Schizosaccharomyces pombe: one gene and its partners. The gene in region 3 interacts genetically with the main gene of each other region. Each region holds a gene or a part of one and is shown on either strand. Other genes may lie near its edges. The genes, in order: exo2, pof8 and rrp6.

Region 1 (3,756 bases), 1.2 Mb from region 3:
CAATCTTTACATCAAGGCCCTTTAAAACATCTGAAATCTTTGGTGCAAAATGGTAGTTGTAATACCAACCCCAAGACTGACATCCACGGTAATAATAGAAAAGTACCCATTGTAAACCTTCAACATAACGTTCAGCCATTGCTTTTAAAGCTTCTTCATCATAATAACTAAAACCAACCTTGCTTCGATAATAATCATCCTTCCATTGGATAAAATCTTTTTCGACGTTTTTTTCTTTTAAAGCTTGTTCTTCGTTAAGCAAAGGAATGTTATCATACTTTTGAAGTACACGTTCGATTTCGTCCTGCTCAATTTCATCTTCGTCTTCATCATTAAATTCAAGATCTCTAAATGTAATCCTTAATAGATGAGTGCCGTCTACCTTTATAATTTTGGAAAATGACAGATGAAGATCATTACATAAACGTCGTAGAAAGCGCTGATCAACAGAAGAAATGTTTGCACTAAAATCAATGAACGGCTCACGAGAAGACAAAAACTTTTTAATCTGTAAGAAATAATTTTTCTGCTCCCCTGTCATGGCTTTAATATCATTTGTTGATTCAGTAATATATTTGAGAAAGTCAAAAGATGGTTTGTCAGAGTTCCCATTGTTTTTTGTCTCAGAAACTTCAGCTTTAAATATCTCTTTCTCAAAATTCTCAAGTTCGAGGAGTATAAGTTCCAATCTAGCCATATTGATTACTCCCTTTTCATTAATATATCCCCCAGCAGAAGGCATAACTTTTTTGTATATACTAAACATCAAAGCTAACGCACCCTCATTAATATGAAGCCCAGGCAAATGGGGAAGGAAGTCATTTCCGACAAAAAAAGCTAAAAGAATAAAGTCGTCAAGGATTTTTTCGAGATCATACTTAAAAGTGAATGTAGATCGGCATTCTTGAAATTCAAATTCAAGATATTCTCTTAATAAACTTAAATGCAATAAATAAAATTTTTGGTGAGCCAATTCCTTAGAACGGTTTCTACTTGCCGGACCAAAAGTAACCTCCTCACGTAATAGACAAAAATGTGGATCATGAGATAAAAGACCTAGCATAATTAAATCAGCATCCAAACCATAAAGGCAATGGCGAGTGTTAGGATTATAGCTAGGTTGAGCCTTTTGGGTTCGAATATATTCCATAATTTTATGCTCACCCTCACCGGGGCAATCGTGGCCAGAGAAAATAACCTCAATGTTCTGCCACTGGGAATCGTTCGTAACTTTTTTGTGAATAAAATAGTATAACTGTCGTGAAACCCTCTCCATAAAAGTTGTACCTGGCGTTATACAGTTACTGTCAAATTGCTCCTCGGGAAAATCCTCCCCATTACGTTCTGCTTTTAAACGCGCATCGTGGGCATCTTTAGCAGTTCTGAATCGGCGACTGCGCTGTTGATTCATTTTCGCACGTGGGGCACATCCATCTACTGCCATATATAGAAGCTTTTTGGGTTTAATTTTTTCAAATAAATGCTCAATATAATTAAAAATGGCTATATACATTTCCTCTTCTGGAAGTGGTGGTGAGGAATGATCATCATTCTTATGCGTACAGTTATGAAGAATACCATTCATATCTAGATAAAGATTATCAAATCTATTTCAATTAGCTCCATACGTTTCAAACGATGATTTAAATTGACATACTCGGGAATGCGATCGTTTTCAATCAGCTGACTGCACAGCGGATACCTTTCGCTCATCCATCGAAAAAACTAATTGTTAAAAACTTATACAAAATATCGATAACAACCTTTGGAATTCCCATACTGAACGAACTTTCTCATTAACAGTTAAATAGGAATAAATTTAGAAAGTATTGTTGTTAGTAGAGAACAAATGTCAACATATGCGGTGCTTGCACGTATCGATAGGCCCCAGGTTAGTGAAGTTTAAGGAGTTAGTTATATAGTACATGAAATATTGAAAATGTGTAGATCCTCTTTGATTTAATATCATACTAACAGAAGCCTTTTTAACGATATCATTGTGAGTAAAGATATTATCATATTATCATTTTTTTCAACAAAAATACAAATGGCAAAATAGTTAGTCTTTGAGACTAGCTGAGTCTAAAATAGAGCAAGTTCTTAAACATTGAGGCGAAGGAAGGAGTTTAGTTGTTTGAAAAACAAATCAAACACATTTATCAAGAAATACGTTTCGACTAATTGAAACTGCAGCAGTAGTAGATGATTAAAAAACATTGGCAAATTTTATAATTAACGAGACATTTACCTTTATAATAATGTGTCTAGGGTATATCAATACAATCACTGTAAGTTGCTTGCAATACTTATCGATTACGGTACAAAGATTATTCATTCATAATATATTTGATGATAAACTATTAATTGAGCTCTTGCAAATTGAAAGTCTTACACAGCAAAACTTAGTAAATAATTAATAAAATTGTTGAAACTTCATATATGTATATAATAACATGGACTAATTTACCATGTAACCAAAAAAGTGATTCGAAACAACGTTCAAAAAGAAAACTTAAATAGTAGTTTTCCATTAGGATAACGTCTTCCTTAGCACGTTGAGGCTAATAATAGTAAGGTGGAGTGAAATAGCTCCGGTCAATTTTCAAGAAAATAAAATAAGCCATATGAAAAACGACCATGTGTTCGAATTTCTTCTCATAATACTAAGATATCAAAAAAAAAAAAAAAAAAATTCGTGAAAAACAACTGAAGAAGGGCATTCATATTTTTAAAGAGTAATAGAGAGAGAACTTTCGACTGCTTTTAAAATCTTTGGTTGCTAAATCGTATGCATAAATAAACATATGCAAGGATTGATATATTTAAAAAAGTGATTGTTTTAACAACTCAAAAACTGGAATGCAAAAAAAAATAAAAATATAATACCATTTAGTTGTAATAGGAATTTACGGACGGTATCACCTCTAGCGATTAACGAACAAAATAAAACCAAAATTAAAATTTTCCAATCAATCTAAAAAACTCCTCCCTAGTTTTATGGCTTCTCTGAAATATACCAGTAAGACTACTAGTAACAGTACTGCTACCCGGTTTTTCAACACCGCGCATAACCATGCACATATGAGTAGCTTCCATAACGACTGCAACTCCCTGAGGTTTTAAGACAGCTTGAATAGCTTGGGCAACTTGTTTGGTAAGACGCTCCTGCACCTGTAGGCGACGCGAAAACATATTGGCTATACGTGCGAGCTTTGAAAGTCCCAATACACGCTTACGAGGAATATAACCAATATGAATCTACAATAATGTTAGTTTAATACGCTGAGTTTGTGAAAGAGGGTTAAACATAATTGCATAGCCCAATCACGTGAATGCAATGGATAAAATCCACTTCTAAATGAAACCTACTTTTCCAATAAAAGGAACCAAATGATGCTCGCACAAACTGAATACATCAATATCTCTAACAATGACCATTTCTTCGTGATCTTCTTGAAATACTGCCTCATTGATCACTTCGGTCAAATTTTGCTCGTATCCTTTGGTAAAGTAAAGCATTGCCTTGGCATACCTCTCAGGTGTTCCCAAAAGGCCTTGTCTCTCAGGATCTTCTCCCAAACATTCCAAAATTGTTGAAATAGCATTGGAAATTTTTTTTACTTTTTCTTCCTCAGCAGTATCTATTCTACGTTGTGTTCCTTGACCTAATTGGTATTAGAATACTTAAATGAGTATAAAATATGCTTTCATTACTTACAAGGCCAAGAAAGCCCGTCTAAATCAATAGTTGGTGTA
Region 2 (3,756 bases), 3.0 Mb from region 3:
GATATAACGGTACGCAATTTCGAGGGGTATATACTTTGACATCGACTTTTCTATTGTGAAATTTGCTGGCTAGAGCACTTTTTAATCGACCCATATTTGTTTGCTCACCATGCACCAAAATCTATAATTAGTTAATTTTAACGTTACATTAGTAACTAAACATACAATGTGATCGGCATTTACCAGGTCAATGAATTCACTGTTTTGAAGATAATCAACATGAGCCGCAAAAGAAAGTTCCTCCACTGCCATTCTTCTAGGAATCTTTTGGCCTGAAAGTGACACAATTTCAATAGGCTCATTTGTAATTTGCTTTGCCATTGTCCCTTCAACAGAATAACCAGTAAGAAGTAACGTATTTCGAGGGTCAGGAGCCCATCTTTCTAAGAGGGTTCTTGAAACACCATTTTGTAGCATACCAGGACTTGCCAATATTACAGAAGGGCCAATATCATCGAATTTTTCTAAATTTCTTAGACTTTTGACAAAACGAAAGATGAACGGATTTCGTTCGGCAAAAATTTTTCGAATATTATCATTCATCATGTTAACATAAGTTTGAAAAATGGCCATACACTTTCTCGCTAGCGATGATGCATAATAGATAGGGACTGAGCGAAGATCGAGATGATTATTCCAATATTCATCGAGAATGAGTAATAACTCCTGAGCTCTTCCAAGAGCAAAGACAGGCATCAAAACTCTCCCTCCATTGCGAATAGTGGAATGAATAATATTTAACAGTCTAGCCTCCTTCTCCAGTCTTGGTTGGTGAGATGCTGTACCATACGTGGATTCTGTGATCAGCACATCTGGTCTTTTAGGAGGAACCTCAGCGACATGCAAATGGCGATCTTCTTCTCGTGAGTAGTCGCCTGTAAATAAAATATTGACTCCAGCCATTTCCACAAAATACATACAGGCACCCAAAACATGGCCCGCATGATAGGGTGTAAACTTTATACCCTCAACTTCTATAGTTGAATGGTAGTCAACAGCCTCGATTCTATCAAAAGCGGCTAACAAATCTTTCTCATCGTAAAGCTGATCTTCCATGCCTACATTACTGCGAGTTGTTAATGAATACTCAGAGCTAAGAATACATACCTCACTTTCACGTAGTCAGATAAAAGCCACTTGCAAACTGCCTTTGTAGGATGAGTCATGAAGACACGACCTCTAAAGTTCGTCTTTTGCATAACATAGGGAAGCGAGGCTACATGATCCAAATGGAAGCTTGCTTAAGTTAGAAATACTTTTCAAAAAAAAATGAATCAATGCCTAAGGGACCATAATAGTAATTGGTACAAGAAGTACTCTAATCTAATAACCTATGGTCGTCTCAAGTAGTGGTACAAAAGGGACTTACTGGCTAATTAAAAGTACATCTACAGTGCTCAAATCAAACTCATCAAAAAAAGGAAGAGCTGAAAGCCCAGTATACGCAGGGTGAACACCGGCATCGAGCTAGCAAAAATTAGCATTCACAATCATAACAAAATAAAAATTAAAATACCATTACTGTTTTCCCTTTGTATTGAATAACATGGCAACTGCGACCAACTTCATTTCCGGCTCCCAAGTTAATAAACTCCAGTAAATCCTGACATTGGTTAGAAAGTAGGCCCTTATAAAAAATCGTAAATTCAAGGCTTACGGATGGGTCTACAGGTGCATCTTCATCAAATTCCTTTCTTTTGGACATCTTTCCAAGGGCTTTTGTCTAAAAACCACAATTGGAAAGACAAGGTCGTGGGTGCTGGGCAAGCGCGAGTTATTCTTCACCTACGCATTCAACATAAATTGGGAGAAAGCAGAACAAAAATTTACAACCCTTTTTTTTTTAATTAAGAGCACCTAATTCTATTTATTATTAATGACTTCACTTTAATTGATACTAGAAAACCGTACTTTAAGGAGCGAAGTAAAATGTTTGTGCCAAGGCAACTGAATGTTCGCAAAATTAAAGCATTTACAGGGAAGGAAAATAATTCTATTGCAGATGGAAATAACAACAAATTGAAAGATGAGCATTACAAACATAATGAAGCCAGCAAAGAACCAAGTCATTCCATAAGCGGAGGACTCATGTTAAATCAACAAGATAGACAGCTTATTGAACCGTTAAATCCTGACTTTTTATCAGCCGTTGATTCTATATTAGAAATTTATTTTCACCGAGAAAGGCAAAAAGAAAAAGTGCACTTGGCCTTTTTAATCCAGCAAGATGATTTCTGGAAAGGAATCCGCCCGAATCCAACGCAAAATAACTTGAAGTATGCTTTATCTTATGTTACTAATGCGCTGTTTCATTTCGATAATTCCTCACACATGGTTATTAGAAATGAGAATATTGTTCTTCCTCTTGACATACCACTGTATGATAGAATTATTTACGTTGAACCAGTTCCGGCTACTCTGTCTAATAAAAGTTTACTTTTGGCTGGGAAACTTCGCAAATACCTCAAAGAGTTCCTTCCCTATGTTGATGCTATCGGTACTCCTGAAGGTTATGCTTTTGTAATTTTGTACAAAAAGGTTGATCAATCAGCACTTAGCAAGTTGCCTGTCCCTCCTGGATGGGTACTGTTGACTCGTAAAGAATGGACAAATCGTGAAGAAAAATATTTTGAAAATCAACTCCATTTAGTAAAAGCGTCATCTTCAGACGTTTCAAATTCATCCAATTCCTTTCCTGAAAATCGTTATCCCAAACTTACTAAAGTAGAAAAACAAATGACCAAGTCTGTATCCAAAACCTCACAAACTGATAAAGATGAAGATAATTTGGATTTTACCAAGAATCTTTTGACCCGTATCAAGAACCTCCATCCTTTAACTAATAAATCTACTATTCACAGCCTCTTGAGTTATGTTTTTTCGCGGCAAACTCAGAATATTGCATGTGAGCCCATGTATATAGACTATAGGAAGGACGAAACAGAGGCGATAATACGTTGGAAAACACCGCTTCATGCTGAGACGTGTATCAACGCGTTTCGTACACAAGAAAGGAAACAAAACAGTCATGATGATATTCGGGCACATAGGAAAAAGGGATCTAGCCGTCCATTCCTGATTGCTGAGCTAATTACCGGAGAAGAAGAAAAGAATTATTGGCGTATGTTAAAAAAGTAATATGTTTTCCTTTCTCTGGTAATACTAATTTGATTTATTTACTACTTTATAATATATTCTGGTAATATAGGCATACAAAAAGGTAACACGGTCGTTATTCTCACTTTAATACTAAATTTGCATTAACAGTTTTTTGTATTAATAACCCCTCTAATTTTCATTTGGCTGATAACCTATTGCGATCAGCAAAAATTCCAATAAACCATGAACCACAAATATGTAAAAACGGTTTACCACCCCACAATTGCAAAATTCTATTACTTAGATTTTAATTACATATTCTGTACATCATTGTTGCTCCCGGCTTGTATTTTCCTTAACGCCTTTTAACTACGAAACGTAATATTCTTCACTGCTAACAGTCTTAAAATGAAATATTTTCTGTATGTTATATATTAATTTAGCATACCGAAAAGTTCTTGAAATTGAGGTGTGTTTTCATAGGTCTGAGTTAAATTCTTACATCTGCCATTCTAGTCTACCACAAACCATTCTCATGTCTTCACGAGCTTTACGGAAACTTCAGCGTCAAAGACAAACCGAGCTATTGGAAGAAGCTTTAGACAGTGAATCTGATGAGGATGACGAGTTTTCTTCAACTTCCGGGAAAAAAGTAGT
Region 3 (3,756 bases):
AGAGCCCGTAAATTTAATTTGCAACAGTCGCTGGAAATGTTTATTAAATGCGAAAAGTGGAGAAAAGAATTTGGTGTTGATGATCTTATCAAAAACTTTCATTATGATGAGAAAGAAGCCGTTTCCAAATATTACCCTCAATTTTATCATAAAACTGACATCGACGGCCGTCCGGTATACGTTGAGCAACTCGGTAACATTGATTTGAAGAAGTTGTACCAAATCACGACTCCCGAGCGTATGATGCAAAATTTGGTTTATGAATATGAAATGCTTGCTTTAAAACGGTTTGTAAGTAAATTCAAATGATTAAATGTATCTCCAGTAATTCTCATAATCAAACCTTTCCTTTGGATTTGCATATTCCATATAAGGCTGGTTTTTCGGCTTTTTAATAGAAAAACTTTTGGTTTTCTACTGTGTTGAATTTTTTGTGATATATTTTTTCATTTTGATATTTCTTTTCATCTTTATTAACCGTCTTCAGCCCGCTTGTTCTCGTAAAGCAGGAGGCTTGATTGAAACTTCGTGCACAATCATGGATCTAAAGGGTGTTGGTATTACTAGTATTCACTCGGTTTACAGCTACATTCGTCAAGCATCAAGCATTGTAAGTTGAAAATGTTGAAATTTTTGTTCTTTTTTTTTTTTTTCAAGTATTAACACGTTAAAGAGTCAAGATTATTACCCCGAAAGGATGGGCAAGTTTTATGTAATTAACGCTCCTTGGGGATTCTCTTCTGCCTTTAATCTTATCAAAGGTTTTTTGGATGAGGCAACTGTCAAAAAAATTCATATTTTAGGCTCAAACTATAAGAGTGCTCTGCTCGAACAAATCCCTGCTGATAATCTTCCTGCTAAACTCGGTGGAAACTGCCAATGTCCAGGTGGCTGCGAACTATCTGACGCCGGTCCATGGCATGAAGAACAGTGGATGAACAAAAATTAGACTTCTTTCTCCGAACGGGATTTAATTGCTAGAATAGATGAATGTGGTTTGTCCTTTGATAAGAGTAATAGTGTGTAGAGTTTTTGCCGATCTTTCAACTTTGTTCTGCGTTTTAGTTCTTAAAGGTCTTCGTTCTATTTTTACTCAGCATCTCAGGTACTTCCTTCTACTTACGGTTTACTATTCGACGAAATTATCGTATATAGATCGAAGCATATATAAATATTTTATTTCGAAAGTCATGTGTTGATCCATCATCAACATCATGGGATGGTTGCTGTTACAATTCTTAATCCTTATAGAAGGTCTCAATACATATATCGTTCATTAATTTTCCAAAAAAGGACGCTCGATGATCCAACTGATTTGATTGTTTCATCCATTCTAGATTATCCGAAGTTTTTAAATTTGTAATTCATCTACTTTGATTATTTTTTTACTTTTTGATCAAAATTGAATGCCTATATTATAAAAGACCTCTCTATAGTTGCCTGCTAATAGTTTCACAATTTTGAACTAATCATAAATAATTGCTTTTACATAATTCTGCTAAGATTTTGCATTTGTGTAAAATATTTTATATATATAAAAATAGCTCTTGTATTTCGTACTTTAACGATGTCTATATTCAAGTTCGGTAATTCGTTGAGCGTGTGGTAAAAGTGCTTGAAAATTCCTGAACCAAACCAAAAACCTTACTGATCCAGTAGGGTAAACAATAGCATAATGGATGAGTCAGAATTGTTTAAGGGTTTAATGAATAGTACAGCCTATTGCTCTGAATTGGCAAAGGTTGATATACCGTTTTATAAATCAATTGATACCGAATTCAATGAAAACATAAAAAGTGTTTCTTCTCGTTTTATGAGATTAATTGAATTGCTTCTTTCTAAAGTAGACAGAAGTCGGGCGGAGGATATTGTGGACGTTGAAGATATAGATAATAGATGGGCAGAAGTATCGGACACATTAGACATACTCTTTGAAAAAGCTGTAAGTGAATTTTTGAAATTGTAAACGGATTTTATTTAACTAAGACGTATGAATATAGGACTATTCTATCGATAAAGCTCAAGGACTTTTAAAAAAGCCAGCGATCGAAACCCATGCGTCGACAAGCGATGTTGCCAATAAAAAACCAAAGAAAGAAAAGTTGCCCTACAAGGTTATTCACGCAGCTCATCTTACTAAGCCTCAATTAAGGTTTCGAGTACAGCCTAATAATTCCAGGGAGTTTGTGTGGTCTTGGAAGTTAACTGAAAAACCACATTCGTTAGTACCGCTCGAAAAGATTATCGCTCAAGTCAAATTGGACCCTAGTCTCAAAAACTCGTTACCACATCCATATGAACCAGAAATACAAAATAGCGTATATCCTCCATGGGTTTCAGAAATGTCTAATCCCATCGATACTGGCTCTGTCGACGAAACAGAACCTATCTGGGTTAGTACTGAAAGTCAGTTATCGGATATGCTAAAAGAATTACAAAACAGCAAAGAAATAGCCGTTGATCTTGAACACCATGATTACAGATCATTTAGAGGGTTCGTCTGTCTAATGCAAATTAGTAATAGAGAAAAAGATTGGATTGTTGACACCTTGGAACTCCGCGAAGAGCTTGAAGCTTTGAATGTTGTTTTTACTAATCCAAATATCATTAAAGTTTTTCATGGTGCAACTATGGATATCATTTGGCTGCAAAGAGATTTCGGGCTTTACGTTGTAAACTTATTTGATACATACTATGCTACTAAAGTTTTAGGATTTGAGGGTCATGGTCTGGCTTTTCTGTTACAAAAGTATTGTGATTATGATGCAGATAAAAGATACCAAATGGCTGATTGGAGAATCCGTCCTTTGCCTCGGGAAATGTTAAAATATGCTCAATCTGATACGCATTATTTGTTATATATTTGGGATCATTTACGAAATGAACTCATATCAAAATCAGCTGAAAGAAAAGAAAATCTTATGCAATCAGTGTTCAATTCCAGTAAACAAATATCTCTTAGAAAGTATGAACTTGAGCCTTATGATCCTATTTATGGACTTGGTACTGATGGCTGGAGAAATGTACTTACTAAGTTTGGCTCTTCTAAAATAATTGGACGGGAAGCTTTGATGATTTATCGAGCACTGCACGATTGGAGAGATTCCGTAGCCCGAAAAGAAGATGAAAGTGTTCGCTATGTGTTGCCAAATCGTTTACTTATTGCGATTGCCGCCAGTAAACCGGTTGAAGCGGCTGATGTGTTTTCAATTTCTAAGCAATTGACACCAATTGCTCGCATGTATGTTGAAGATATCGTTAAAGTCGTTCAAGAAGCCGAAAAGTTGTATAATGAGCAAGTAGATCGTGAGAAATCCCAATTTAAAGAAGTTGAGAAGCAAAATCAACCGCTAGCAGTTTTTTCCGAATCGAATACTTTGGGTGATTACAAAGTTGACTCCAGTGTTTTCGAGATTTCTAAACAAAATAGAAGTAAACTAAAGACTTTGCTGGCAAATGGATCTGCGTTTTGGATTGAGGGACAGTCGCAAGATGATTTACGGAAAGCTCGTAAAGAGAGACTCTTTATAGTGAACCAGAATATTCCTTTTTCATTAACTCTTCCTTGTACTCAAGGGCATGTTGAATCCGAATTGAATGTAAAGCAGTCCACTGTAACTGAAGCTGCAAACCCGAGTCTGAATGGAGAGAAGAAACAAGAGCCTATAGTCATTAGGGATTTAGGGCTGAACAAGCAAAAAAGGGATTCTTCTAAGCTTAATCATAAAGAACCCTCAAACCCCATAGAGGAGCGAA

Evidence for each region.
Region 1: mutations in rrp6 (region 3) and exo2 are lethal when combined (synthetic lethality), as found in Schizosaccharomyces pombe (one study listed by BioGRID).
Region 2: of rrp6 (region 3) and pof8, a mutation in one rescues a mutant of the other (synthetic rescue), as found in Schizosaccharomyces pombe (2 studies listed by BioGRID).

What each region holds. Positions count from the first base shown.
Region 1 is NC_003424.3:1,776,571-1,780,326, reverse strand, and holds the start of exo2 (exonuclease II Exo2), read right to left. Parts: upstream 1,838-3,756; 5' UTR 1,779-1,837; coding exon 1,764-1,778; exon of another isoform or gene 1,726-1,763; coding exon 1,658-1,725; exon of another isoform or gene 1,618-1,657; intron 1,608-1,617; coding exon 1-1,607. Other genes in the region: fol2 (GTP cyclohydrolase), read right to left, coding at 2,956-3,258, 3,370-3,665, 3,719-3,756. UniProt on the Schizosaccharomyces pombe protein: Multifunctional protein that exhibits several independent functions at different levels of the cellular processes. 5'-3' exonuclease component of the nonsense-mediated mRNA decay (NMD) which is a highly conserved mRNA degradation pathway, an RNA surveillance system whose role is to identify and rid cells of mRNA with premature termination codons and thus prevents accumulation of potentially harmful truncated proteins.
Region 2 is NC_003424.3:3,621,940-3,625,695, forward strand, and holds pof8 (LARP7 family RNA-binding protein Pof8/Lar7), read left to right. Parts: upstream 1-1,783; 5' UTR 1,784-1,929; coding exon 1,930-3,138; 3' UTR 3,139-3,432; downstream 3,433-3,756. Other genes in the region: cleavage and polyadenylation specificity factor complex endoribonuclease subunit Ysh1, read right to left, coding at 1-121, 166-1,066, 1,108-1,236, 1,370-1,467, 1,517-1,603, 1,658-1,705; protein Rqc1, read left to right, coding at 3,635-3,756. UniProt on the Schizosaccharomyces pombe protein: RNA-binding protein required for assembly of the holoenzyme telomerase ribonucleoprotein (RNP) complex. Specifically binds telomerase RNA ter1 and promotes assembly of ter1 with catalytic subunit trt1.
Region 3 is NC_003424.3:609,211-612,966, forward strand, and holds the start of rrp6 (exosome 3'-5' exoribonuclease subunit Rrp6), read left to right. Parts: upstream 1-1,637; 5' UTR 1,638-1,675; coding exon 1,676-1,942; exon of another isoform or gene 1,943-2,000; coding exon 2,001-3,756. Other genes in the region: spo20 (sec14 cytosolic factor family, phospholipid-intermembrane transfer protein Spo20/Sec14), read left to right, coding at 1-291, 488-610, 674-949.